Macaca mulatta: one gene and its partners. The protein of the gene in region 1 binds, or shares a complex with, the protein of each later gene. Links are inferred from orthologs where the notes say so. Each region holds a gene or a part of one and is shown in the gene's direction. Other genes may lie near its edges.

Region 1 (2,054 bases):
TCAGCACTTCGGGAGGTCGAGGCGGGTGGATCACGAGGTCAGGAAATCAAGACCATCCTGGCCAACGTGGTGAAACCCACTGTCTACTAAAAATACAAAAATTAGCTGGGCGTGGAGGTGGCGCGCGCCTGTAGTCCCAGCTACTCAGGAGGCTGAGGCAGGAGAATCGCTTGAACCCAGGAGGCAGAGGTTGCAGTGAGCTGAGATCGTGCCTCTGCACTCTAGCCTGGCAACAGAGCAAGACTCTGTCTCAAAAAAAAAAAAAAAAGAAAAGAAAAAGAAAATGTCTGTTAGGCATCCAGCTGGTGATACTCAGAAGGCCAAACAGGACGGATGTGATGGGACAAGGCTGGGGAGACATTGAGGCTGAGGCCCTGACCACCCATCCTCACAGCTCCAGCCTCTCTCACTTGTGGGTTCCATGTTTATCCATGCAGGAGCCTCCTCAACAAGCCCAAGAGTGAGATGACCCCAGAGGAGCTGCAGAAGCGAGAGGAGGAGGAATTTAACACGGGTCCACTCTCTGTGCTCACTCAGTCAGTCAAGAACAACACCCAAGTGCTCATCAACTGTCGCAACAATAAGAAACTCCTGGGCCGTGTGAAGGCCTTCGATAGGTGAGTGCTGGGTCCTGGGAGGTGTTCTGTGCAGGCCTAGAGAGGCTGCCCTAGCTCCAGTCTGAAGAGCTCAAAGACAGGTTTCTCAGACGCCTGGGGTGTATGGCCCAGGGTGGTGGCTCATGCCTGTAATTCCAGCACTTTGGGAGGCCAAGGCGGGTGGATCACCTGAGGTCAGGAGTTCGAGACTAGCCTGGCTAACATGGTGAAACGGCATCTCTATTAAAAATATAAAAACCGGGCGTGGTGGTGCACACCTGTATTCACAGCTACTCAGGAGGCCGAGGCACGAGAATTGCCTGAACCCAGGAGGCAGAGGTTGCGGCGAGCTGAAATCGCACCACTGCACTCCAGCCTGGGCAACAGAGCGACACTCTGTCTCAAAAAAAAAAAAGAAAAAAAAAGATAATATTCAACGACCTTGTGAGGAAGGTACTGTGATTGTCTTCCCTCTTAAAGATGAACAAACTGGCACAGAGAGGTGCAGTCCTTTGCCTCAGCCTCAACCTAAGGACTGGCAGAATTGGCCTTGGCAGCTTGGTCATCCAGCCTAGCACCTGCATCCTTCCCCAAGCCATGCTGCTGGAGGGGGCGAGCAGCAGGCAGCGCTGTCAGAGGCACCCCCCTCACACCCAGTGCCTCCCCTCCCTGTTCCCCACCAGGCACTGCAACATGGTGCTGGAGAACGTGAAGGAGATGTGGACTGAGGTCCCTAAGAGCGGCAAGGGCAAGAAGAAATCCAAGCCAGTCAACAAAGACCGCTACATCTCCAAGATGTTCCTGCGTGGGGACTCGGTCATCGTGGTCCTGCGGAACCCGCTCATCGCCGGCAAGTAGGGGCTGCCTATCCATCGACAGAACTCACTCTCTCGTCCTATGAAGACCATTGCCATTGGTGTTGAGAATAATAAAGCTCTGTGGTTTTTTTCTAGTGGTATGTGTTCCCAGAGCCTTGTGAGTGGGGTGGATTCAGGAGGGCTTGGGGGAGGCAGCTAATATCAAATTGAATGCTGGGACCAGGACCCGTGAGCAAGTGGAGAGGCCCTGGCTCTGCCCCATCGAGGCCTCACTTTCCCCCTCCGCAAAGCAAACAGGTTGGATGGAAATGAGCACCCAGTTGTGGCACTGGAGAATATTTTAGTTCTCCTGCTTTAATCTTTCTGAGCTTCGCCTTGTCACTCTGTTGCTCTCTTCTCTGCCTCTTAAAATGAATTGGCCTCGCTTGACCAAAATATCTTTTGGGGCCAGGCATGGTGGCTCACGCCTGTAATCCCAGTAGTTTGGGAGGCTGAGGCGGGCAAATCACCTGACATCGGGAATTCAAGACCAGCCTGGCCAACATGGTGAAATGCTGTCTCTACTAAAAATACAAAGATTGGCCAGGCGCAGTGGCTCACGCCTGTAATCCCAGCACTTTGGGAGGCCAAGGCGGGTGGA
Region 2 (3,500 bases), on another chromosome or scaffold:
GCTCCCTGCAACCTCCACTTCTTGGGTTCAAGGAATTCTGCCTTAGCCTCCAAAGTAGCTGGGACTACAGGTGCCCATCTAAATTTTGTATTTTTTGTAGAGATGGGGTTGCACTATGTTGCCAAGGCTGGTCTCGAACTCCTGGGCTCAAGCGATCCACCTGCCTCAGCCTCCCAAAGTGCTGGGATTACAGTGTGAGCCACCACGCCCGTCCATCCAATAACTCTTATGGAGAAGGCACTGCACCCTCAACTTCTGGGCTCAAGTGACCCTTCTCAACCTCCTGAGTAGCTGGGACCAAAAGTATATGCCACCACACCCAGCTAATTTTAAATTTTTTGTTGAGATGGGATCGCCTTGTGTTGCCCAGATTGGTCTCTAACTCCTGGGCTCAAGTGATCCCTCTGCCTTGGCCTCCCAAAATGCTGTGGTTCTAGTCTTGAGCCACCACACCTGGCTTTATTTTGTTTGTTTTTTTGTTTGCCTTAATGTTCCATACAGGATTTATTTCTTTGCGGGCTATTTTTCAGGAAGGTGGAGTTAAAAGACCAAACGAAACCTACACCACTGATCCTGGATGAGCAAGGGCGCACTGTAGATGCAACAGGCAAGGAGATTGAGCTGACACACCGCATGCCTACTCTGAAAGCCAATATTCGTGCTGTGAAGAGGGAACAATTCAAGCAGCAACTAAAAGAAAAGCCATCAGAAGACATGGAATCCAATACCTTTTTTGACCCCCGAGTCTCCATTGCCCCTTCCCAGCGCCAGAGACGCACTTTTAAATTCCACGACAAGGGCAAATTTGAGAAGATTGCTCAGCGATTACGGACAAAGGTATCTGGCTTATAGTATAACACAGAATTTAGAAAAAGTTAAGAAGCTGAAAGGAAAACATTGTAAAATCTCTATGTTCTAGGAAATTAGATAAATAGGTCATTTAAAGCAGCAGTCCTCAACCTTTTTGGCATCAAGGACTCATTTCATGGAAGACAATTTTTCCCCTGGAGTAAGGATGGTTTTGTGATGGTTTAAGAACATTACCTTTATTGTGTACTTTATCATTATTATTATTTTTGAGATGGAGTTTTGCTCTTGTTGCCCAGGCTGGAGTGCAATGGCATGATCTCGGCTTACTGCAACCTCTGCCTCTCAGGTTCAAGTGATTCTCCTCGAGTAGCTGGAATTACAGGCATGCACAACCACGCCTGACTAATTGTGTATTTTTGGTAGAGATGGGATTTCTCCATGTTAGTCAGGCTGGTCTTGAACTCCTGACGTCAGGTGATCTGCCCACCTTGTCCTCCCAAAGTGCTGGGATTACAGGCGTGAGCCACCACACCCGCCTTTTTTTGGCAGGGGAGCGGGGACAGAGTCTTGCACTGTTACCTGGGCTGGAGTGCAGTGGTGCAATCTCAGCTCACTGCAGCCTCCACTTCCTGGGTTCAAGCCATTCTCCTGCTTCAGCCTCCTGAGTAGCTGGGACTACAGGCGTGCGCCACCATGCCTGACTAATTTTTTGTATTTTTAGTAGAGACAGGGTTTCACTGTGTTGGCCCGGCTGGTCTTAAACTCCTGACCTTGTAGTCTGCCTGCCTTGACCTCCCAAAGTGCTGGGATTACAGGCGTGAGCCACTGTGCTGACTTCTATTATTATTCTATTTTAATATATGATGAAATAATTATATAACTCACCATAGTCTAAAATCATTGGGAGCCTTGAGTTTGTTTTCCTGCCGAGACGGTCCCATCTGGGTGTGATAGGAGACAGTGACAGATCATCAGGCATTAGATTCTCATAAGGAATGTGCAACACAGCCCCCTGGCATGTGCAGTTCACAATAGGGTTCACTCTCCTATGAGAATCTAATGCCACCGCGGATCTGACAGGAGGTGGAGCTCAGACCATAATGCAGGTAATAGGGAGCAATTGTAAGTACAGATGAAACTTTGTTGGTTTGCCTCCTGCTCACCTCCTGCTGTACAGCCCAGTTCCTAAAAGGCCACAGACTGGTGGGTTGGGGACCCCTGATTTAAAGCAATGAATAATTTGAAAATATGCAGGACGAGGTGGCTCAAGCCTATAATCCCAGCGCTTTGGGAGGCCGAGGTGGGTGTATCACAAGGTCAGGTGTTCGAGACCAGCCTGCCCGACATGGTGAAACCCCATCTCTACTAAAAATACAAAAATTAGCCGAGCGTGGTGGCGGGCACCTGTAATCCTAACTACTTAGGAGGCTGAGGCAGGAGAATCACTTGCAATTGGAAGGTGGAGGTTGCAGTGAGCCGAGATCGCGCTACTACACTCCTGCCTGAGCGAAAGAGCGAAACTCCGTCTCAAAAAAAAAGTTTTAAACAGATTTTACTTCCTAATTAGTTTCTACATAAGTGGAAATACTCAATTGAGTTTGAAAATTCTCCACATACAACTAAGTGGAGGGAAACAATTTGAAACACTCTGACTGACTGAGGAAGACTTGCCTGGAGTTAAAATTTCCTGCAGAAAGTACACCTGGAGAGTTGAATTGATTGTATATTGAATGACCTTTGCCTTCTTTTTATCCTCTCAGTGAGGTTTTCATAAAATTCTATTTCTGTGTATTTACTGCAGGCATATACTGTGGAGTGAAGGGAGAGGGTGAAGGTGAGGATCTATGTAAATGAACTAAATAAAGGATAAAATAAAGCAGAACAACTCCTTTCTAAACTTTCAGAATGAATTTGTTGCATTAGGTGTAAAGAGTTCAAAGGGGAAATGTTTTAAAATTTGGGATTATTGGCCAGGCGTCATGACTCATGCCTATAATCCCAGCACTTTGGGAGGCCGAGGTGGGCGGATCACGAGGTCAGGAAATTGAGACCATCCTGGCTAACACGGTGAAACTCCTACTCTACTAAAAATACAAAATAATTAGCCAGGCGTGATGGCAGATGCCTGTAGTCCCAGCTACTCGGGAGGCTGAGGCAGGAGAATGGCGTGAACCTGGGAGGTGGAGCTTACAGTGAGCCAAGATGGCGCCACTGCACTCCAGCCTGTGTGACAGAACGAGACTCCGTCTCAAAAAAAAAAAAAAAAATTGGGAATCTGGCCCCGCACAGTGGCTCATGCCTGTAATCCCAGCACTTTGGGAGGCCGAGGCAGGCAGATCACCTGAGGTCGGGAGTTTGAGACCAGGCTGACCAACATGGAGAAACCCCATCTCTACTAAAAATACAAAATTAGCTGGAGTTGGGGGCGCATGCCTGTAATCCCAGCTACTCCAGAGGCTTAGGCAGGAGAATGGCTTGAACCTGGGAGGCAGAGGTTGCTGTTAGCCAAGACCATGCCATTGTACTCCAGCCTGGGCAACAGAACGAAACTCCATCTCAAAGAAAAAAAAAAAATTGAGATTCTACAAATTCTGTTTTCTATGATTCCAATTTATCTTTCTGTCTTGGATTATCTTGTTTTTAGGCTCAACTGGAGAAGCTACAGGCAGAGATTTCACAAGCAGCTCGAA
Region 3 (4,125 bases), on another chromosome or scaffold:
TGCCGGGATTACAGGCCTGAGCCACCGCGCCCGGGCATGATTTGTTGTCAATTTGTCATCCAAAGGACCACCAGGATGGCTGGATAGTAGACAAGAGTTTTACTGTCAATGTCAGTTTGCAAACCAGGGGGAGTCTCTAACATGAACCCAAAGTGCTCTCTCAGAAGAACAGAGATTAGAGGTTTTATTTTAAAAAGAGAAATATTATTTCTCTTGGAGAAAGTTCATAGGCACCAGTAAGGGTCTGGGGAGCGAAGCCGGGGGAGCCAGATCAGTCCTGGAGGTGCAAGTTATGCTGAAGCTATGCAATAAAACTGGCTTCAGGTCGGGCGCGGTGGCTTCCTCCAGTAATTTCAGCGCTTTGGGAGGCCGAAGCGGGCGGATCACTTGAGGTCAGGGGTTCGAAACCAGCCTGGCCAACATGGTTAAACCCCGTCTCTACTAAGTACAAAAAAACTAGCCGGGCTGGCGCCTGTAGTCCCAGCTTACGGGGAGGCTGAGGCAGGAGAAGCGCTTGAACCCGGGAGGCGGGGGCTGCAGTGGGCCGAGATCACGCCACTGCACTCCAGCCTGCGCGACAGAACGAGACAACGTCTCAAAAAAAATTTTTTTTCTTTATAAAAAGACAAAAACTCTGGTTTCGGGTTACAACAGGCAGCTCAGCAGCCGGCCTGACGGTGACATTCCTCAAGGACGGCCTGCCCAGTGCTTCCCCCCACCCCGCTGCTCGGCTCTGCCGTGGCTGGGTATGGCAACAACGACACATTTTTATGGTCAAGTTTCACAAATGACACACACGAACCGTCTCGCTAACACACAGCACAAACGATGACCCGAAACAGACACCAGAAAGGAAAAAAACGAGCCGCAGTGCCGGGCATGCCGGGCCTTTCTGAAGACGTCCCCATCCGTGGCTGGAGGACAGCCCGGGCGGCGGCGGGCGGCCTCGGGGCGGGTGCGTCGGGGCAGGGCACGGCGAGCCCGGGGCTTCTCAGGACCACCAGGCCGCCTGGACGCTGGGGAGGAACCCCCACTCCGACGCCGGCTAGGAGGGCACCAACCGCGCTCCACCGTGGCCAGGTCGCCGCCGCTCCCGCCGGCCAACGACAAGCTAGCGCGGCGTCTGTACGCGCGTGACGTCAGCACGCACGGCGCCAGCCCGTGCGCATGACGTCAGCACGCACGGCGTCGGTGCGTGCGCGCCCAGAGGTTCCGCCCGGCGGCAGTGCCAGCGGAGCTTGCGGGTGTGGGTGGGACCGGGTTTCGGCTGTGGGCCCGGGGGCGGCGGGGGCCGCGGAGTGAGGGGCCGGCTGAGCCCACCACCTCGCTGGGCCCTCCCTGGCGCCCGGCCTCGGGCGGCGGCGAGCGCGCGGGTCGCCATGTCGTACATGCTCCCGCACCTGCACAACGGCTGGCAGGTGGACCAGGCCATTCTCTCCGAGGAGGACCGCGTGGTCGTCATCCGCTTCGGCCACGACTGGGACCCCACCTGCATGAAGATGGACGAGGTCCTATACAGCATCGCCGAGAAGGTAGCGCGCCGGGCCCTCCCGCCCTGCTGGCTGTGCTTCCGCAGCGGCCCCGCGCCTCTGCCCCGCCGGCCTCGCCTGGGGGCGCGAGCCGTTCCCCGAGGAGGGGCCGCGGCGCGGTTGTCCGGGCGATTCCTTCCCGCGCTGCGGGCGAGCGCTCTCGGGGACTGTGCCGGCGTTTCGCGCCTTTTTCTGCAGGGAGCTCCTGTAGTTGTTCACGTTTTAAAGGGTTTATGATCCCCCTCCCCTCGAAGGAATTCATTATTTCTGTTGGTAAGGCGTTTTTCCCAATCTTACAGTGCAGTGAACAAAGTAACACTTGCAGGTTTTGAGAGCGCAGATCCTTAATTTAAAAGGATGCCCTTTTCTGGTGCCCTGTTTGTTTGTTGTATGTGTAAAGCAGAACTTTCATGTTAATAGCATAAGAAATCCTGTTTTTCTGTTGGTGTTTTCTTCCACCGCGCTTTTTGTAAGTCATGTGATTTATAGCTTAGAGTGATTAAGATGCAGAAAACATCGGGAGAAAATAGAACTATGCTTTGTTGGAACTAGTTTTCTGAATTTCTAATATTAGTACATTGAGTGGCCTTGGCACTTACTTGCTGACAATAAAAGTTGTGGGACACTATAACCAGGTTTCATTCTTTTTCTGTGGTTCCTCACAGCAATTTTAGGATGGCGTTTATTTAGGTTTTGCAGCTGTAGCAATAGGGCAAAGGGCACAAATACTAGGGTGTTAATAAAATATTTGCCATATTAATTTTCCGTAAGTAATTTGAGCGGTTATTCATTTTGATGAAGAGTAAAAGTAACATTGAAGCTATCTTTTCTTTCACAGATGCTAAAGTAGGCTGGGTTAAAATAACTCCTTTGAGTAAAGAGTAACAGATATAAAGACATTTTATATTGAGGAAAGGAAAGACTGTCTGGCCTGCCATTTATTAATTCTTGCTATTTCTTATTTAGTAGGAGAGGTGTGATGTTAGGAACTGTTGTTATATTTTAGTTATTACAAGAATCTCTTGGAGTGCTTACTAAAATGCATCTGTGATTCTGAGTCTATGGGTGTGGGGTGAAGTCCAGCAATGGCTTTTTAAAGAAGCCCCTCAGGGAATTCTGATGTGACCTGACCTTGAACCACACACTCAGAAACCCTTCCATGGGGGTCAGGGACAGAGGCGGAGTGCTTTATTACCAGCCATCTCCCAGCCTCTTCCTCTTGGACAGCAGGACACTGAGGACTTGAGGAGCTGCCTAGGGAATCAGGAGAGCAGCAGTTCTCTCACACTGGGGCTTCTGCCAGCCAGGGATTAGAGATGATGAGTGAGGCAGTGCCAGCACATCAGCTTTTCATTGCTTGACTTGTAGTGGACAAGGGCAGATACTGGAAATCCAGCGAAGAATTGACGAAGAGCAGTTTCCCAATAAGTAAATCACTGCTTGTAAATCACTGACTTTGAGTTACGAGTTCTAGAATCTTTCACTGTTCTACCTTGCAGGTGGTGGCATAAACATCAGCTGGTGTTCAGATCCTGCTGCCGGCAGCTCGAGGCTAGGATGGCTGGCGATGTGAGGGCCTTTGTCTCATCACATCCAGGCAGAGCTCAGCAAGATGCTCTTAGCTAGGAAACAGATTTTATGTGTTAATGTAAGTGTTAGGGTCTTTGCCAGATTTGCTCTTTTTTTCCAATTCCTTTATGTCCGATTTCTTTGTTATTACAGAATGAATCACTGTATCACTAGTGGACACACACTTAAGGACAGTTGAAATGGGCTCACTTTGGGGTATTTTTTTTTTTTTTTTGGTCTTTTAAAATAGTTTGATTTTTGTTTCTGTCCAAAAATTTGGATTGCTTTATTAATAAACTTTTAATGCAAATATTATAGTATAATTATTAAAAGCGCAAACCTAGGCCAGGCACGGTGGTTCATATCTGTAATCCCAGCACTTTGGTTGGGAGGCTAGTGTAGGCAGATCACTTGAGCCCAGGAATTCGAGACCAGCCTGGACAATATGGTGAAACCCGTTCTCTACTAAAAGTACAAATGCCAGACGTGGTGGCACATGCCTGTAGTCCCAGCTACTTGGGAGGCTGAGGTGGGAGAATCACCTGAGCCCGGGAAGTCAAGGCTGCAGTGAGCCATGATTATACCACTGAACTCCAGCCTGGGCAACAGGAGTGAGACCCTGTCTCCAAAAATAAGTGCAAACCTGAAATGCATTAAAAGACTATTCGTGTTTTATTTTCTTCTTAGTATATGGGCAAAATATGACTTTCTAATTCTGGAAGCTCTTTTGGGGAAACTCAACAGAAATTTTTGAAATGTAAGATTTTAGTATAAAGAACAATATAACTATTTAAAAATTTCCCTGTGCAGAAATGGCAGATAATGGAGAATCTTCCTTATCTTGTTAAGAGTCCTGTCGATGTCCCAGCTGTTTTAAAGTGAGTAACAGTTGCAGATGTTCGGCTGGACTTGATACGATTTTTTCCTGGATGTGTTGTATTGATCTGCTGCTTCCACAAGGCCCACTGGCCTCATGCTGGGTTAGAGCTGAGCTGTGAACTTCAGGAAGAAAGTTAGTCTGGAAACA
Region 4 (4,044 bases), on another chromosome or scaffold:
GACATCCTTTGCATTTTTTTTTCTAATTATTTCACTTTGATTTGTAAATTCTCAACTAGATTGAGGGGCTGTATGGGTTACAATTCCTCTGCATCCTCCCCAATAAACTTGGTGGGAATTTCAGACTTTTTGTTTGTTTGTTTTTTCCGAGACGGAGTCTCGCTCTGTAACCCAGGCTGGAGTTCAGTGGCGCGATCTCGGCTCACTGCAACCTCCGCCTCCCGGGTTCAAGCGATTCTCCTGTCTCAGCCTCCCGAGTAGCTGGAACTACAGGTGCATGCCACCACGCCCAGCTAATTTTTGTACTTTTAGTAGAGACGCGGTTTCACCATGTTGGCCAGGCTGGCCTTGGACTCCTGGCCTTAAGCGATCCGCCCGCCTCAACCTCCCAAAAGGCTGCGATTCCAGGCGTGAGCTACCGCCCCCCCCCCCCCCCAATGAGCTTGATTCTTTCTGCTCCCCTGTGAACCCTACTGGTTGTCTTTTTTCCTGCTTTATCCCTCGTCCTCGGTAGACAGTGGGCACTCAATAAAGAATGGTTAAATGAATGAATGCGGCCGGGCGCGGTGGCTCAAGCCTGTAATCCCAGCACTTTGGGAGGCCGAGACGGGCGGATCACGAGGTCAGGAGATCGAGACCATCCTGGCTAACACGGTGAAACCCCGTCTCTACTAAAAAATACAAAAAACTAGCCGGGCGAGGCGGCGGGCGCCTGTAGTCCCAGCTACTTGGGAGGCTGAGGCAGGAGAATGGCGTGAACCCGGGAGGCGGAGCTTGCAGTGAGCTGAGATCCGGCCACTGCACTCCAGCCTGGGCGACAGAGTGAGACTCCGTCTCAAAAAAAAAAAAAAAAAAAAAAAAAAAAAAAAAAGAATGAATGCATGAACAAATGACCGTCCTGGAGCTAGTACTGCATTGCACGTATACATTGATGACAACAGACATCGTACAATGCGCAATCTTGGCAAATTTATTAAAAGCTTCCAGACTTCGGTCTCTCGCAGGGCGACGCCGGGAGCCTATCACACACTGAGGTCTGTCGGGGGCCTCAGGAACAGCCTCGGAAACGTGGGAGGCGGGGCTTCCCCGACCACACCCCCTTGTATTCAAAGCCTTTCCGCCTGTGGGCCCGCCTCCTCGGCGCAGTGTGCCACTCTAATTGGCCATCTTACCAATCCATCTGAGCACCTCGGCGCCGATTGGATCAACTGCTGAAGTCGGGTTGCGCACTTTCCGGCGCTGGGAACGCGGAGCGGACGCACACTGGCCGCCATTGCGCTCCGGAGAAAGCGGCCCCCTGTGTGAGGGGTTGTGGGGTGCGTGGCAGGCGTTTAAGGCCGGGCTGCGGGAGGCGTGGTCGGGTCGGGCTGAGTGACCGAAGGGGTTAGGCCGGGCGGGGCTGGATGCACTCAGTGTGGCGGGATTGCAGGCCCGGGTCCCCGGACGCCTTTCTGCTGCGCTTCTTGTGGGCCCGGGCCTGTGGTTAGTGAATTTTTCTGTCCCGCCGCTGTCCAGATTCTCCGGGTATGGCCGGAGTATTTCCTTACCGAGGGCCGGGTAACCCGGTGCCCGGCCCTCTAGCCCCGCTACCGGACTACATGTCGGAGGAGAAGCTGCAGGAGAAAGGTGAGTCGAGTGTGGAGCGGCGCGCGAGCCGGAGGCGGGGCGGGTGTTCGCGCGCGCAGGTGGCTGGGGACCCTCCCCGTTTGGGCAGCTCCCGAGGTGACAACTCCCTTGTTAGCCCCATTTAACTTTTTATCAAGTCATTTTAAGCGCGTGTTATCTGCAAGCGCTGATCCAGTAGTGATGGAGACAAAATTCCTGTCCTTACGGGGTTTAAATTACAGCGGGAGAGAAAGACAGTAACAAAACCTTGAGGATCTGTAATAAAAATGTCAGGCCGGGCGCAGTGGCTCACACCTGTGATCCCAGCACTTTGGGAGACCCAGGCGGGCGGATCACCTGAGGTCAGGAGTTCGAGACCAGCCTGGCCAACATTGTGAAACCCCATCTCTACTAAAAATACAAAAATTAGTCGTGTGTGGTGGCGCGTGTCTATAATCCCAGCTACTGGGGAGGCTGAGGCAGGAGAATGGCTTGAACCCGGGAGGCGGAGGTTGTAGTGAGCCGAGATCGCTCCATTGCCCTCCAACCTGGGTAACAGAGCAAAACAACGTCTCAAAAAAAAAAAAAAAAAAGTCAGATAGTAATAAATGTGATGAAGGGAAAAACATAGTAAAGTGGTAAGGGAATTGGCAAGGAGTGTTGCTTCCTGCTGGATGCCTGCTCCTCTGTCACACTCACTGACAGGAGCTTACCCTAGGGCAAGAGGTGAAGAGGATTAGGCTGAGGGTGTGCAGTCCTTTAAACTGAGGTGCCTTTGTAGCCCGAAAATGGCAGCAATTGCAGGCGAAGCGCTATGCAGAAAAGCGGAAGTTTGGGTTTGTGGATGCCCAGAAGGAAGACATGCCCCCGGAACATGTCAGGAAGATCATTCGAGACCATGGAGACATGACCAACAGAAAGTTCCGCCATGACAAAAGGGTTTACTTGGGGTAAGGAACATCCTGAAATAACTTCATTTGGAATTTGGTTCTTTTCCCTTTTCCCTGTCCCACAGTCTTGGATAGATGCTCTGTCATTTTGGAACAGGACGCTGCTTTGACAGCTCATCTTGGTGGATATAAGAGAAAGGAGAAAACCAGTAGGAGTCTCTGATAATTTCTACATCTTCCACTTACGCAGTCTGTTTCCCTTCTGTTCCTGATCTGGGCCTGGGACTTTAATTTGTCCTGTTGATGCTGTTATAAGATATCCCTGTCGTTGAGCTGTTTGAAGCCCAGAGTGGGAGACTGTGCATAGTGGCAGCCTGTCACTCCTCAGGGACCTGAATTCTGTGTTTAGGGTATTTAATTTCAGAGGTATCCCTACTGCTGTTTTTCTGTGGCTGTAAACTGGGTGGGTACAGGTACAGATGTCTTAGCAGATTCCTGCTCTATTTGGACACAAAAACGTTTGCCGTGTAATGAACTGGAAGTTTTGTTTATTTCAAAAAATAGTTTGAGAACTGTGCTGGCTGCTTGGGGTATAGTAGCGAGCAGAGGGTAACAATCTCCGCCTTTCTGCAGTGTGCAGTCTAGTGGCATGACAGACATGAGACAACTGGTGATAGTGAAGTATGGTGAATACTTTATTATGATTTATGAGAAGATACTGAGGGAATAGGATGTGAGACAGCCGCAAAGCTGTCTCCAGAGGGACAGCTGTTGATTTAGAGGAGCTGATACCAGCATTGTGGGACTATGACATTTAAGAAGAGTGCTGAGGCTGGGCGCGGTGGCTCAAGCCTGTAATCCCAGCACTTTGGGAGGCCGAGACGGGCGGATCACGAGGTCAGGAGATCAAGACCATCCTGGCTAACACGGTGAAACCCCGTCTCTACTAAAAAATACAAAAAAAAAAAACTAGCCGGGCGAGGTGGCAGGCGCCTGTAGTCCCAGCTACTCGGGAGGCTGAGGCAGGAGAATGGTGTAAACTCGGGCGGCGGAGCTTGCAGTGAGCTGAGATCCGGCCACTGCACTCCAGCTTGGGCGACAGAGCGAGACTCCGTCTCAAAAAAAAAAAAAAAAAAAGAAGAGTGCTGCAAGATGAAGTTGTAGAGGGAGAGGCAGGGTTTCTGGTTAGGAAGGGCCTATGGGCTAAGTCTGGGAGTTTGGATTGTAAGGTAGGATTTACTGTGGAACATGAACGTGTGGCTTCTCTGCATGGGACAGGTAGCAGAACACCTCGTCATTTCTAATAGCCTTCTCTTTTTCTAATGTGCCAGTGCCCTAAAGTACATGCCCCACGCAGTCCTCAAACTCCTGGAGAACATGCCTATGCCTTGGGAGCAGATTCGGGATGTGCCTGTGCTGTACCACATCACTGGAGCCATTTCCTTCGTCAATGAGATTCCCTGGGTTATTGAACCTGTCTACATCTCCCAGTGGGGGTGAGAAAGGCTGAAATATGGTGGGCAGTGGTGGTGGTGGTTGGGGGCAGTGG
Region 5 (4,176 bases), on another chromosome or scaffold:
CTTATCTCTGGGACTCCTCAACATTTTTTTGTTTTTTATAATTTTCTTTTTTATAGACAGAGTCTTGCCCAGGCTGGAATGCAGTGGGGAGATCGTAGCTCACTGTAACTCTTGGGTTCAAATGATCCTCCTGCCTCAGCCTCCCAAAATGCTGGGATTTACAAGCCTCAACATTTTGTTGTTGTTGTTGTTTTGAGACAAGAGTTTCACTGTTGTTGCCCAGGCTGGAGTACAATGGCACGATCTCCACTCACTGCAACTTATACCTCCCGGGTTTACAGGCGCGTGCCACCACACCTGGCTAATTTTTGGGTTTTTAGTAGAGACAGGATTTCGCCATGTTGGCCAGGCTGGTCTAGAACTCCTGACCTCAGGTGATCCATTTGCCTTGGCCTCCCAAAGTGCGGGATTATAGGCGTCAGCCACTGCGCCCGGTCAATTTTTTTTTTTTTTTTTTTTTTTAAGACGGAGTCTCTCTCTGTCACCCAGGCTGGAGTGCGGTGGCCGGATCTCAGCTCACTGCAAGCTCCGCCTCCCGGGTTCACGCCATTCTCCTGCCTCAGCCTCCCGAGTAGCTGGGACTACAGGCACCCGCCACCTCGCCCGGCTAGTTTTTTGTATTTTTTAGTAGAGACGGGGTTTCACCGTGTTAGCCAGGATGGTCTCGATCTCCTGACCTCGTGATCCGCCCGTCTCGGCCTCCCAAAGTGCTGGGATTACAGGCGTGAGCCACCGCGCCCGGCCAATTTTTTTTTTTTTTTTGAGACGAGTCTCGCTCTGTCGCCCAGGCTGCAGTGCAGTGGCATGATCTTGGCTCCCTGCAACCTCCACCTCCCGGGTTCACGCAATTCTCCTTCCTCAGCCTCCCGAGTAGCTGGGATTACAGGCGCCCGCGACCACGCCTGGCTAATTTTTTTTGTATTTTTAGTGAAGACGGGACTTCACCATGTTGGCTAGCCTGGTCTCGAACTCCTGACCTCACACAATCCATCCACCTTGGCCTCTCAGAGTGCTGGGATTGAAGGCGTGAGCCACCGCCCTCGGCCTTTTTTTTTTTTATCAGCTGAATTTAAGATTAAAAACATTTTTTAATTTTATTTTTTGAATTTTATGTTTTTACTTTAACAAATATAGAAAAGTGCACACTTCATAATCTTCACAAACTCCCCACAATTCTCGATAGGATGTGTGTAGAGGGCACGAACACATCACGCTGTGGACGGCAGGGTTATGGAAAACAAAACCTTTTGAGCTCAGACGCCGAGTGCCTCCACCCGCCTAGCAGCCCAGGCTAGGGTCCGCGCCTGCGCAATGGGAGCCGGCCGGCCCTGGAAGAAGTCGGAACGAAGGAAACCCCGCCCCTTTCCCGGCTTCCTCCTCCCCTCGGTTTTACCCAGCTTGCGCTCCCCAGCCGCAAGTCGGCCGCGCTTTACCCTTCAGCGCTTGGAGGGTTCTGCGTCCCTTCCCGCTGCGCCTGCGCGGTCCCGCCTCGCCCCACGCGCGGGCTCGCGCTTCGGTTCTCCCAGACCTGGTCTCAGCATCCGGCTCTTTTCTCGCTCCGGCCCGCTGCCCGCTGCGCCAGCACCATGGTGGGTACCGTGACGTCAAAAGGGGTCGCCCTCGGGGATCTCGGACGGTTGGGGCAGGGGGGTCTGGCCTTTGTCCCCCTAGGCTGGAGTTAGGTCCGGAGTTTTTATCTTCATCGTTAGTCCTGTTCCTCAAGTTCGTTGAGGAGACACCTGAGAGCAAATGGGATTTTTTTTTTCCATGATGAGGAAAAAAACCCCAACCCTGAGAGAGATTCAGTGGGGACAGCGGGAGACGGAAAAGTTAGACCTTAGAGCACTTCTCTGCCAGGCAAGCTTCGGCAGGGTGCGGGTGGGATGTTTTCTGTAATTCATTGAAAGGAGTGGGCAGGTACCCGAGAAAGGTGGTCGATTGAGAGAGCACACTGGGGAGGCCGAGGTATGCAGGGCAGAGCCTCTCTGGGACTTTAAGTGATGGGCTCAATGCAGTGTGCAGAATAATTTGGGCTCCAGCCTTTCACCTCTCAACCAATTATTCTTTCCTGTGAAATTTTGAGAACTGTTAGGGATGCAATGGGGTTCACAATACCGGTATTTGGTAATACTGTCAAGGGACACTCCTCCCTACCATGTTCCTTCCCACATGATGGTTTTCCCCCTCTCTCCCAATAGCTCTTCTATTCTTTTTTCAAGTCCCTTGTGGGCAAGGATGTGGTCGTGGAACTCAAGAATGACCTGAGGTAGGTACCTGTTCCAACAAGTCTGTTGGGGGTGGGTGTGCCCAGGGCCCTGGAACCTCTTTAATTTGAGAAATATTTGAGGGCTGGGTGAGGTGGAATATGTACAGAAGAAATAAATGGCCGGGTGCGGTGGCTCACGCCTGTAATCTCAGCACTTTGGGAGGCTGAGGTGGGCGGATCACGAGGTCAGGAGATCAAGACCATCCTGGCTAACACGGTGAAACCCTGTCTCTACTAAAAATACAAAAAATTAGCCAGGCATGGTGGCAGGCCCCTGTAGTCCCAGCTACTTTGGAGGCTGAGGCAGGAGAATGGCGTGAACCTGGGAGGCAGAGCTTGCAGTGAGCCCAGATCACGCCACTGCACTCCAGCCTGGGTGACAGAGCGAGGCTCTGTCTCAAACAAACAAAAGAAATAAATGGGTGGGGTGCAGTGGCTCACGCCTGTAATCCGAGCACTTTGGGAGACTGAGGAGGGAGGATTGCTTGAGCCCAGGAGTTTGAGGCTGCAGTGAGCAGTGATTACTCCATTGCACTCTAGCCAGGGCAATAGAGCAAGACCCCATCTCTAAGACAAATTTTAAAATTTAACAATAAATAAATGCCTTGTGCCTTAAATTTACAGATAAGCTTGGGGATTGTATTGTGTATTGGAAAACAATACAAAGCAATATACAGTTTAAAGAGTAAATACTGGTCAGGTGTGGTGGCTCATGGGCTGGACGTGTGGCTCATGCCTGTAATCCCAGCACTTTGGGAGGCCGAGGTGGGTGAATCACGAGGTCAGGAGTTCAAGACCAGTCTGGCCAAGATGGTGAAACCCCGTCTCTACTAAAAATACAAAAATTAGCCAGGCATGGTGGCAGGTGCCTGTAATCCCAGCTACTTGGGAGGCTGAGGCAGGAAAATCGCTTGAACCTGGGTGGCAGAGGTTGCAGTGAGCTGAGATTACACCACTGCACTCCAGCCTGGGTGACAGAGTGAGACTCTGTCTCAAAAAAAATAAATAAAGAGTAAGTACTAGGCTGGCCATGGTGGCTCACACCTGTAATCTCAGCACTTTGGGAGGCTGAGGCAGGAGGATCACTTGAGTCCAGGATGTCGAGACTAGCCTGGGCAACATAGAACCATTTCTATAAAAGATTAGCCAGATGTGGTTTACATGCCTGTAGTCCCAGCTATTCGGGAGACTGAGGTGGGAGGATCACTTGAACCCAGGAGGTCGAGGCTGCAGTGAGCCATGATTGTACCACTTTACTCCAGCCTGGGTGACAGAGGAAGACTGTCTCAAAAAAGAACAGGCCAGGCCAGGCGCAGTGGCTCACGCCTGTAATCCCAGCACTTTCGGAGGCCGAGGTGGGCGGATCACGAGGTCAGGAGATTGAGACCATCCTGCCTAACATGGTGAAACCCCATCTCTACTAAAAATACAAAAAATTAGCCTGGTGTGGTGGCGGGCGCCTGTAGTTCCAGCTACTTGGGAGGCTGAGGCAGGAGAATGGCATGAACCCAGGAGGTGGAGCTTGCAGTGAGCCAAGATGGCACCACTGCACTCCAGCCTGGGCGACCAGAGCGAGACTCCATCTCAAAAAAATAAACAAAAAAACAGAACAGGCCATAGGCTGGGCATGGTGGCTCATGCCTGTAATCCCAGCACTTTGGGAGGCTGAGGTGGGTGGATCACAAGGTCAAGAGATTGAGACCAGCCTGGCCAACATGGTGAAACCTACGTATTAGATATGCTACTGTGTATCTAATACCTAGTATAGGCCAGTTGTATGATAGGTGCTTAAGGAAAGAAAAATAATATCTGAAGACCTATTGACTAAGCACTATTCTGAATACATTTATTGATTGATTTCTCAAACACTCCTTAGTAATATGTACTATTGCTGTTATACATATGAGGAA
Region 6 (3,500 bases), on another chromosome or scaffold:
TCTGGACAGCGTCAGTTTCTGAGGTGTTGCCCTTGGGGCGGTTGCCAGTGGGGCTGGCAGGGATGTGGGCGGCAGTGCCTTGCTTCTGTGGTGGGTGAGCTGTGCTGTGCAGGGAATGGAGTTCTTGCTGCTGTGACTGGGTGGGGAGCCTTTTCAGACAAGGCTTCCCAGAAGCTTCCAGAATATGCGCCATTGGTAGATGGCTGTGGGAGCTCCCGGGGCCTGTCTCCTCAGGCTGGAGTCCGTGCGGCTGGAGTACCGTGCAGGGCTGAAGAACATCGCAAATACGCTCATGGCCAAGGCGCTGCAGGAGTGCCCTAACTCTGGTAAGGGGGTGCTTTCTGGCTTCCCAGACTCAACAGGGCTGGCGCTTCCTCAGGGAGTGGGGACTCAGGCTTCCGACAGACTTTATTAAAATGTTTTGTTTGTGTGAATCATTTCAGTCAAAAGTTTCAGCTATACTTGGCCATTAAGACATTTTAATGAAATTCCTGGCCTCAAAATGGGAGAATTTGATTTCATGTTCTGAAGTGTTATCATTTCTTTTTCTTTTAAAATTAAAAGAAATTGGCCAGGTGTGGTGGCTCACGCCTGTAATCTCAGCATTTTGGGAGGCTGAGGCGGGAGGATCGCTTGAGTCCAGGAGTCCGTCGCTTGAGACCAGCCTGGGCAACATAGTGAAACCCCGTCTCTATAAAAAATACAGAAAGTAGCCAGGCACAGTGGCACGTGCCTGTAATCCTAGCTACTTGGGAGACTGAGGCACGAGAATCACTTGAACCTGGGAAACAGAGGGTGCAGTGAGCCGAGATCACACCACTGCCCTCCAGCCTGGACCACAGGAGTGAAACCCTGTCTCAAAAAACAAATAAATCCGTCAGGAGCGGTGGCTCACGCCTGTCATCCCAGCACTTTGGGAGTCCGAGGCGGGTGGATCACCTGAGGTCAGGAGTTTGAGACCAGCCTGGCCAACATGGTGAAACCCCGTCTCTACTACGATACACAAATGAGCTGGGCATGGTGGCGCACGCCTGTAATTCCAGCTACTTGGGAGACTGAGGCAGGAGAATTGCTTGAGCCTGGGAGTGGGAGGTTGCAGTGAGCCAAGATCGCGCCATTGCACTCCAGCCTGAACGACAGAGTGAAACTCTGCAGAGTGTCCTGTCTGTGCCCTTGGGGCTGCCATGGTTTTGGGTGGGCCAGAACACTCATCCTTCGTGGTTCTTGCACAAGTTCTGCAAGCAGTGTGTGGGAGGCCCCGTCACCGTCTGAGGACGTCCTGGGTTAGAATCTCTGTAGGCTGGGCACCTTTCCGGAACCAGAGGCTGGAGTGCAGATCTTTGTTCTTTGTTTCTGAATTGCAGGTATCCTGTGGTCTGAGGCCATCTTCCTCGAGGCGAGGCCCCAGAGGAGGACCAAGAGCGTGGATGCCCTGAAGAAGTGTGAGCATGACCCTCATGTGCTCCTGGCCGTGGCCAAGTGAGTGAGGCGTCCCCACAGGATTGCTGACCCTTGGGGTCCTCATGGGCTCTTTTTCCAGTCTGTCTGCCTCTCCCTGGTCATTGTAAAGATGCCCGGCGGCAGGGTGCGCTCCCCCGATCCTCGGCTGCTGTCACTCCTGCTGTGGTCCGGGGCAGGCGCCTCTCCCGGCAGAGACAAACCTGAGGGTGCTGCAGCATTGTGGGCTTCTGTCCCAAAGCCCTGGGGAGGGACAGCCAGTCTCTCTCTCTCTCTCTCTCTTTTTTCTGTTTCTCTCTCCTTCCCTCCCTCCCCAGGGATCCCCTGGGTGTGGTTCAGCCCTTCCTCTGTTCCGGCTTCTTCTAGGAGGCTGCTCTCTTCGTCTCTGCAATTTTTTAGTTTACACCTACACAGGCCTGGGTTACAGGATAGATTTGCTGATGTTGGTTCACACAGAATTTTAAGTGGTAAGCGAAGCCCCTTTGGACAAGAGGCTTTATGTTGGGGCAAGAAATCACTTGCAGCTCTGTGGCCCGTAAATAATCCAGAGCTGGAGACTGGAGCCTAATTTGTGTGCCCAGGGGTGCCACGATGACTGCTGGAGGCTGTCTCAGAAGACGTGGTGTGAAGGGGAGGCAGAGATCCGTGAGTGACCTCACACCATGTGATTCACACTCGGGTGTGCTGGCCGCTGGGTCAGAGACTCGCTGGGGACATGACTCTGAAACCTCGAAGGCAGCTGCTTGGAGCCGTGGGGCAGAGCGTGCAGATTCTAGGCACATGTGGGCAAAGGCCTGCCACGTGCGGGGCACAGCAGGGAGCTCGGGGCCATCCCCAACCCACAGGGTCTCTGTTTCCTTCTAGAAAGAGGATGACAGTCTGAGAAGGAGCTGGGCCTGAGTGTGCATCAGGAGGCTGGGAAGTGACCATGTAGGGGTGAAGGGAGTTCTTAGAAGAACCCTGGACTCCTGAGGCTGCAGCTCAGGACATGGGCTCACCTGGCGGAGGTGGTGTGTCTGACCCCAGCGGCGAGGGGCCTCACCTTACGTGCCCGGCTTCCCCTCCACCTGCCCTGCCATGGGTCATGCAGAGACAACAGCCTTCCTAGTGCTGGCTCTTGATTCTCTCCATCCCTTCTCCCCAGCACTGGGTGGCAGTGGTGCTTGGTCTCCAGAGGTCTGGGTGCTGCCCCCGTAGGCCTGCCTGTAGGGGCACCTCCTCTCCCCTGCCCGCGGGCCCCTGACAGATGAGAGAGGCTCCCCACAGGGTGGCTTGTGTCTGCCTGGTGCTCCCTTGGTCCTCCCCTGTGCGTCCACCTCCCAGAGTGACTTCTGGGTGACACTCTGATAGTGCAGCCATAAAACCTTATAAAAGGCTTTGCTAAAGTAAATAAGTCACTCCTTGCTATTCCCAAGCCAGTGTTTTGTGTGCCTGCTATCTGGGTTTGTGCTCCTTAAATCACAGTTTATCTAACACTGGGCAATTAAGAATACCACAAGGCTTAAAAAACAATCAGGTTATCAGAGTGTGAAATTATTCCGTTTGGCAACTGAGACGAACCCAAACAGCTGCCTGGAGTGGAGGGTTCCTCGTGTCGTCTCTTGACTGCAGTGCCTCTGGCTCTAGGGGGAGGTGACCCCGAGGAGAGGGTGGGAAGGGTGGCAGCAACGCAGAGTCCCAGGCCTGCCAGCGTGCCCAGCAGCAGTGCCCGCCATCCTTTCTCCAGCAGTTTGGGGGGGTGCCATGCACACCCCCAACCTGGCCTCTGATAGTCCAGCATGGACCTCTTCAGGCCTGGTTTTCAGGTGTCCATGTGTCTGGCAGGCACGGTGGTATCAATCCTGTGGCCTGAGAGCTGTGGGCCGCAGGCCCAGGCCCTGGTGCTGCCCGAAGTCCATCTTCTCAGTGTTCACTGGGGTTGCTGCTGGAGGCCAGGCGGGGCAGGATGATCCAGCAGGTGTCTCAGTGAGGAGCTGAAACTGTGTAACTTTCCCTCATCAAAGTTGTAGTTTAATTTTGTGTCAGGTTTAGTTTCATCTCCT
Region 7 (3,223 bases), on another chromosome or scaffold:
TAAAAATGCAAATTAGTAGTACAAGAACAGAATCTCCTAAATAAAATCAGACCACTACACTTTAGGATTAAGTTGGTGACCGTGACTTCTTACACTATTTTAACCAACATGAATTTCTTTTCCTTTTTAAAAAAAAGAAAAAAAAAAGAAATATCTAGTTGTTGCCTTTTGGGACACTAAGAAACAACAGCTGTAGATCACACGTGGACAATCACAAATTCAAAAAGTAAATAAATTTATACTCTGTACTCTAGAGATGATGTGAAGGGCTAAGAGGGGAAAATGAATCCTGATGTAAAACACAAGACCTTGCAGTAAATTCCTAAACGCTTGCAAGAGAAAGTGGGGAATAAAAAAGTCAAGGGTGGCCGGGAGCGGCGGCTCACGCCTGTAATCCCAGCACTTTGGGAGGTCAAGGCGGGTGGATCACCTGAGGTCAGAAGTTCGGGACCAGCCTCGCCAACATGATGAAACCCCGTCTCTACCAAAATAAATAAATAAATAGCCGGGCGTGGTCCCGGCTACTCAGGAGGGTGAGGCAGGAAAATCTTTTTTTTTTTTTTTTTTTTTTTTTGAGACGGAGTTTCGCCCTTGTTGCCCAGGCTGGAGTGCAGTGTCGCGATCTCGGCTCACTGCAACCTCCGCCTCCTGGGTTCAAGCGATTCTCCTGCCTCAGCCTCCCGAGTAGCTGGGATCACAGGCATGCGCCACCACGCTCCACTAATTTTGTATTTTTAGTAGAGATGGGGTTTCCCCATGTTGGTCAGGCTGGTATCGAACTCCCGACCTCAGGTGATCCGCCCGCCTCGGTCTCCCAAAGTGCTGGGATTACAGGCGTGAGCCACCGCGCCCAGCCAGGAGAATCTCTTGAACCCGGAAGGCGGAGGTTGCAGTGAGGGATTCTCAGGCTTGAGCCACCTCTTCTAATCTACCTTTCCGGCCCCCGCGTCGCTACTCTGCCCTAAGGCCCACTTTGATACACCCAGAAACGCTGTTTTTCACCAGAGCAGGATGTGGTTTCTACCGCGCTTCGTTTCGCAAGCCTCGGCTTCTAGGCAACCGGAAGAAAATAGAGGGCCGGCCTCGGAGAGAGGGTCCGCAGGCTGACGGACTCTCTGCCCACCATCCTTTTCAGAAATCAGCCAGTGGAGTCAGCCCCCGGGCCCAGGAAGCCGCCTTACCTTGCCCCCGTTAGTGAACCTCTGGATGTACGCAGTAGCCAGTCCTGGAATAAACAAGCACACGCCCATGGCGGCGAGTCCGGGGAGAATCTCGAACCACATCTCTGCCCCGTTATCTAGGCCAAAACCCTACTTCTGGGTCCTTGAAAGGTGACCGGGCTTCGGCTCCCTTCCCAGTAAGCCCCGCGGCCGCCCGCGAGCGGGGCGGTGCCACGTACGGCTCCGGAGGAAGCGACGGGATCTGCCAGGGCTCAAGAGAGGCTGGCGCTCGCGCTCTCGCAGTTCTCTTCCGTCAGTGTCTTTTGCTTCGACTCCCGGCGGAGCGCGCGACGTGGAGTAACGCGCAGAGGCCAAGTGCAACCCAGGCAGCGACGGCCGTTTCGGAGCTCGGGACTCTAAAATGGCAGAGCAGTTTTCTCCAGGGAAGACGGCGGATCAGGTGTGCACCTTCCTTTTCAAAAAGCCTGGGCGGAAAGGGGCTGCTGGACGCAGAAAGCGCCCGGCCTGCGACCCAGAGCCCGGAGACAGCGGCAGCAGTAGCGACGAAGGCTGCACTGTGGTTCGACCGGAAAAGAAGCGGGCGACTCACAATCCAATGATACAGAAGACTCGTGACAGTGGTAAACAGAAGGCAGCTTACGGCGACTTGAGCAGCGAGGAGGAGGAGGAAAATGAGCCCGAGAGTCTCGGCGTGGTTTATAAATCCACCCGCTCGGCGAAACCCGTGGGACCAGAGGATATGGGGGCGACAGCTGTCTATGAGCTGGACACAGAGAAAGAGCGCGATGCACAAGCCATCTTTGAGCGCAGCCAGAAGATCCAGGAGGAGCTGAGGGGCAAGGAGGATGACAAGATCTATCGGGGAATCAACAATTATCAGAAATACATGAAGCCCAAGGATACGTCTATGGGCAATGCCTCTTCCGGGATGGTGAGGAAGGGCCCCATCCGAGCGCCCGAGCATCTACGTGCCACGGTGCGCTGGGATTACCAGCCCGACATCTGTAAGGACTACAAAGAGACTGGCTTCTGCGGCTTCGGAGACAGCTGCAAATTCCTCCATGACCGTTCAGATTACAAGCATGGGTGGCAGATCGAACGTGAGCTTGATGAGGGTCGCTATGGTGTCTATGAGGATGAAAACTATGAAGTGGGAAGCGATGATGAGGAAATACCATTCAAGTGTTTCATCTGTCGCCAGAGCTTCCAAAACCCAGTTGTCACCAAGTGCAGGCATTATTTCTGCGAGAGCTGTGCACTGCAGCATTTCCGCACCACCCCGCGCTGCTATGTCTGTGACCAGCAGACCAATGGCGTCTTCAATCCAGCGAAAGAATTGATTGCTAAACTAGAGAAGCATCGAGCTACAGGAGAGGGTGGTGGTGCTTCCGACTTGCCAGAAGACCCCGATGAGGATCCAATTCCCGTTACTTAGCTGTCTGATAATTCTTAAATTTAAAAAATAAATATTTTGTTCTTTTGGAAGTCTTAATTCGTGTCCTTCCTTTGTAGAGACAGTGACAGAGAAGGCGGGTGGTGAAGTAGGGTCCTGGATTAAAAACCTCAAGGTAGGTATAATCAGGATTTTTAGCCCTAGGATAACCATTTTGCCTGTGTTTCTTTTCAGAACATTTTGGCATCAATTATAGGGGTGGGAGTAGTTTGAGAAAAGAGCTATAATTTGCTTGAAGTAGCCAAAGCTATGACGAAAGTAAGAACTCTGAGCCTGTTTATCATATCACATTTCTGTATCACTTAATGGTTTACAAAGTACTTTCATGCATTCTTTCTCTTGGGAGCCTGTACTACAAAATATACCGGAGCCAAGGTGTTGGGGAGAGGGGTTGCGTTTGGGGAATTGGTAGCTAGTACCACAGGCTTCACATATGGGAAATGTTCCTTGCTGTCTGGGTTATTTATTTATTTATTTATTTATTTATTTATTTTTGAGACGGAGTCTCGCTCTGTTGTCCAGGCTGGAGTGCAATGGCGCTATCTCAGCTCACTGCAACCTCCGCCTCCCGGGTTCAAGCGATTCCCCT

What was found.
Region 2: SNRPD2 (region 1) and PRPF3 share a complex: the UniProt entries of both Homo sapiens proteins name them as parts of the U4/U6-U5 tri-snRNP complex. The link is inferred for Macaca mulatta from reciprocal best matches to the Homo sapiens genes SNRPD2 and PRPF3.
Region 3: SNRPD2 (region 1) and TXNL4A share a complex: the UniProt entries of both Homo sapiens proteins name them as parts of the U4/U6-U5 tri-snRNP complex. The link is inferred for Macaca mulatta from reciprocal best matches to the Homo sapiens genes SNRPD2 and TXNL4A.
Region 4: SNRPD2 (region 1) and PRPF8 share a complex: the UniProt entries of both Homo sapiens proteins name them as parts of the U4/U6-U5 tri-snRNP complex. The link is inferred for Macaca mulatta from reciprocal best matches to the Homo sapiens genes SNRPD2 and PRPF8.
Region 5: SNRPD2 (region 1) and LSM2 share a complex: the UniProt entries of both Homo sapiens proteins name them as parts of the U4/U6-U5 tri-snRNP complex. The link is inferred for Macaca mulatta from reciprocal best matches to the Homo sapiens genes SNRPD2 and LSM2.
Region 6: SNRPD2 (region 1) and PRPF6 share a complex: the UniProt entries of both Homo sapiens proteins name them as parts of the U4/U6-U5 tri-snRNP complex. The link is inferred for Macaca mulatta from reciprocal best matches to the Homo sapiens genes SNRPD2 and PRPF6.
Region 7: SNRPD2 (region 1) and RNF113A share a complex: the UniProt entries of both Homo sapiens proteins name them as parts of the minor spliceosome. The link is inferred for Macaca mulatta from reciprocal best matches to the Homo sapiens genes SNRPD2 and RNF113A.

Annotation. Positions count from the first base shown.
Region 1 is NC_133424.1:58,224,554-58,226,607, reverse strand, and holds the end of SNRPD2 (small nuclear ribonucleoprotein Sm D2), read left to right. Parts: intron 1-302; exon of another isoform or gene 303-437; coding exon 438-617; intron 618-1,253; coding exon of another isoform or gene 1,254-1,279; coding exon 1,280-1,454; 3' UTR 1,455-1,554; downstream 1,555-2,054. UniProt on the Homo sapiens protein: Plays a role in pre-mRNA splicing as a core component of the spliceosomal U1, U2, U4 and U5 small nuclear ribonucleoproteins (snRNPs), the building blocks of the spliceosome.
Region 2 is NC_133406.1:116,799,243-116,802,742, reverse strand, and holds part of PRPF3 (U4/U6 small nuclear ribonucleoprotein Prp3), read left to right. Parts: intron 1-530; coding exon 531-837; intron 838-3,454; coding exon 3,455-3,500. UniProt on the Homo sapiens protein: Plays a role in pre-mRNA splicing as component of the U4/U6-U5 tri-snRNP complex that is involved in spliceosome assembly, and as component of the precatalytic spliceosome (spliceosome B complex).
Region 3 is NC_133423.1:1,023,969-1,028,093, forward strand, and holds the start of TXNL4A (thioredoxin-like protein 4A), read left to right. Parts: upstream 1-1,325; 5' UTR 1,326-1,379; coding exon 1,380-1,532; intron 1,533-3,028; exon of another isoform or gene 3,029-3,141; coding exon of another isoform or gene 3,142-3,177; intron 3,178-4,125. UniProt on the Homo sapiens protein: Plays a role in pre-mRNA splicing as component of the U5 snRNP and U4/U6-U5 tri-snRNP complexes that are involved in spliceosome assembly, and as component of the precatalytic spliceosome (spliceosome B complex).
Region 4 is NC_133421.1:3,240,491-3,244,534, reverse strand, and holds the start of PRPF8 (pre-mRNA-processing-splicing factor 8), read left to right. Parts: upstream 1-1,244; 5' UTR 1,245-1,316; intron 1,317-1,515; 5' UTR 1,516-1,526; coding exon 1,527-1,626; intron 1,627-2,386; coding exon 2,387-2,555; intron 2,556-3,826; coding exon 3,827-3,991; intron 3,992-4,044. UniProt on the Homo sapiens protein: Plays a role in pre-mRNA splicing as core component of precatalytic, catalytic and postcatalytic spliceosomal complexes, both of the predominant U2-type spliceosome and the minor U12-type spliceosome.
Region 5 is NC_133409.1:150,509,289-150,513,464, forward strand, and holds the start of LSM2 (U6 snRNA-associated Sm-like protein LSm2), read left to right. Parts: upstream 1-1,376; 5' UTR 1,377-1,586; coding exon 1,587-1,589; intron 1,590-2,198; coding exon 2,199-2,266; intron 2,267-4,176. UniProt on the Homo sapiens protein: Plays a role in pre-mRNA splicing as component of the U4/U6-U5 tri-snRNP complex that is involved in spliceosome assembly, and as component of the precatalytic spliceosome (spliceosome B complex).
Region 6 is NC_133415.1:116,916,315-116,919,814, forward strand, and holds part of PRPF6 (pre-mRNA-processing factor 6), read left to right. Parts: intron 1-234; coding exon 235-326; intron 327-1,364; coding exon 1,365-1,479; intron 1,480-3,500. UniProt on the Homo sapiens protein: Involved in pre-mRNA splicing as component of the U4/U6-U5 tri-snRNP complex, one of the building blocks of the spliceosome.
Region 7 is NC_133426.1:126,364,799-126,368,021, reverse strand, and holds RNF113A (E3 ubiquitin-protein ligase RNF113A), read left to right. Parts: upstream 1-1,366; 5' UTR 1,367-1,581; coding exon 1,582-2,616; 3' UTR 2,617-2,723; downstream 2,724-3,223. UniProt on the Homo sapiens protein: Required for pre-mRNA splicing as component of the spliceosome. As a component of the minor spliceosome, involved in the splicing of U12-type introns in pre-mRNAs. E3 ubiquitin-protein ligase that catalyzes the transfer of ubiquitin onto target proteins.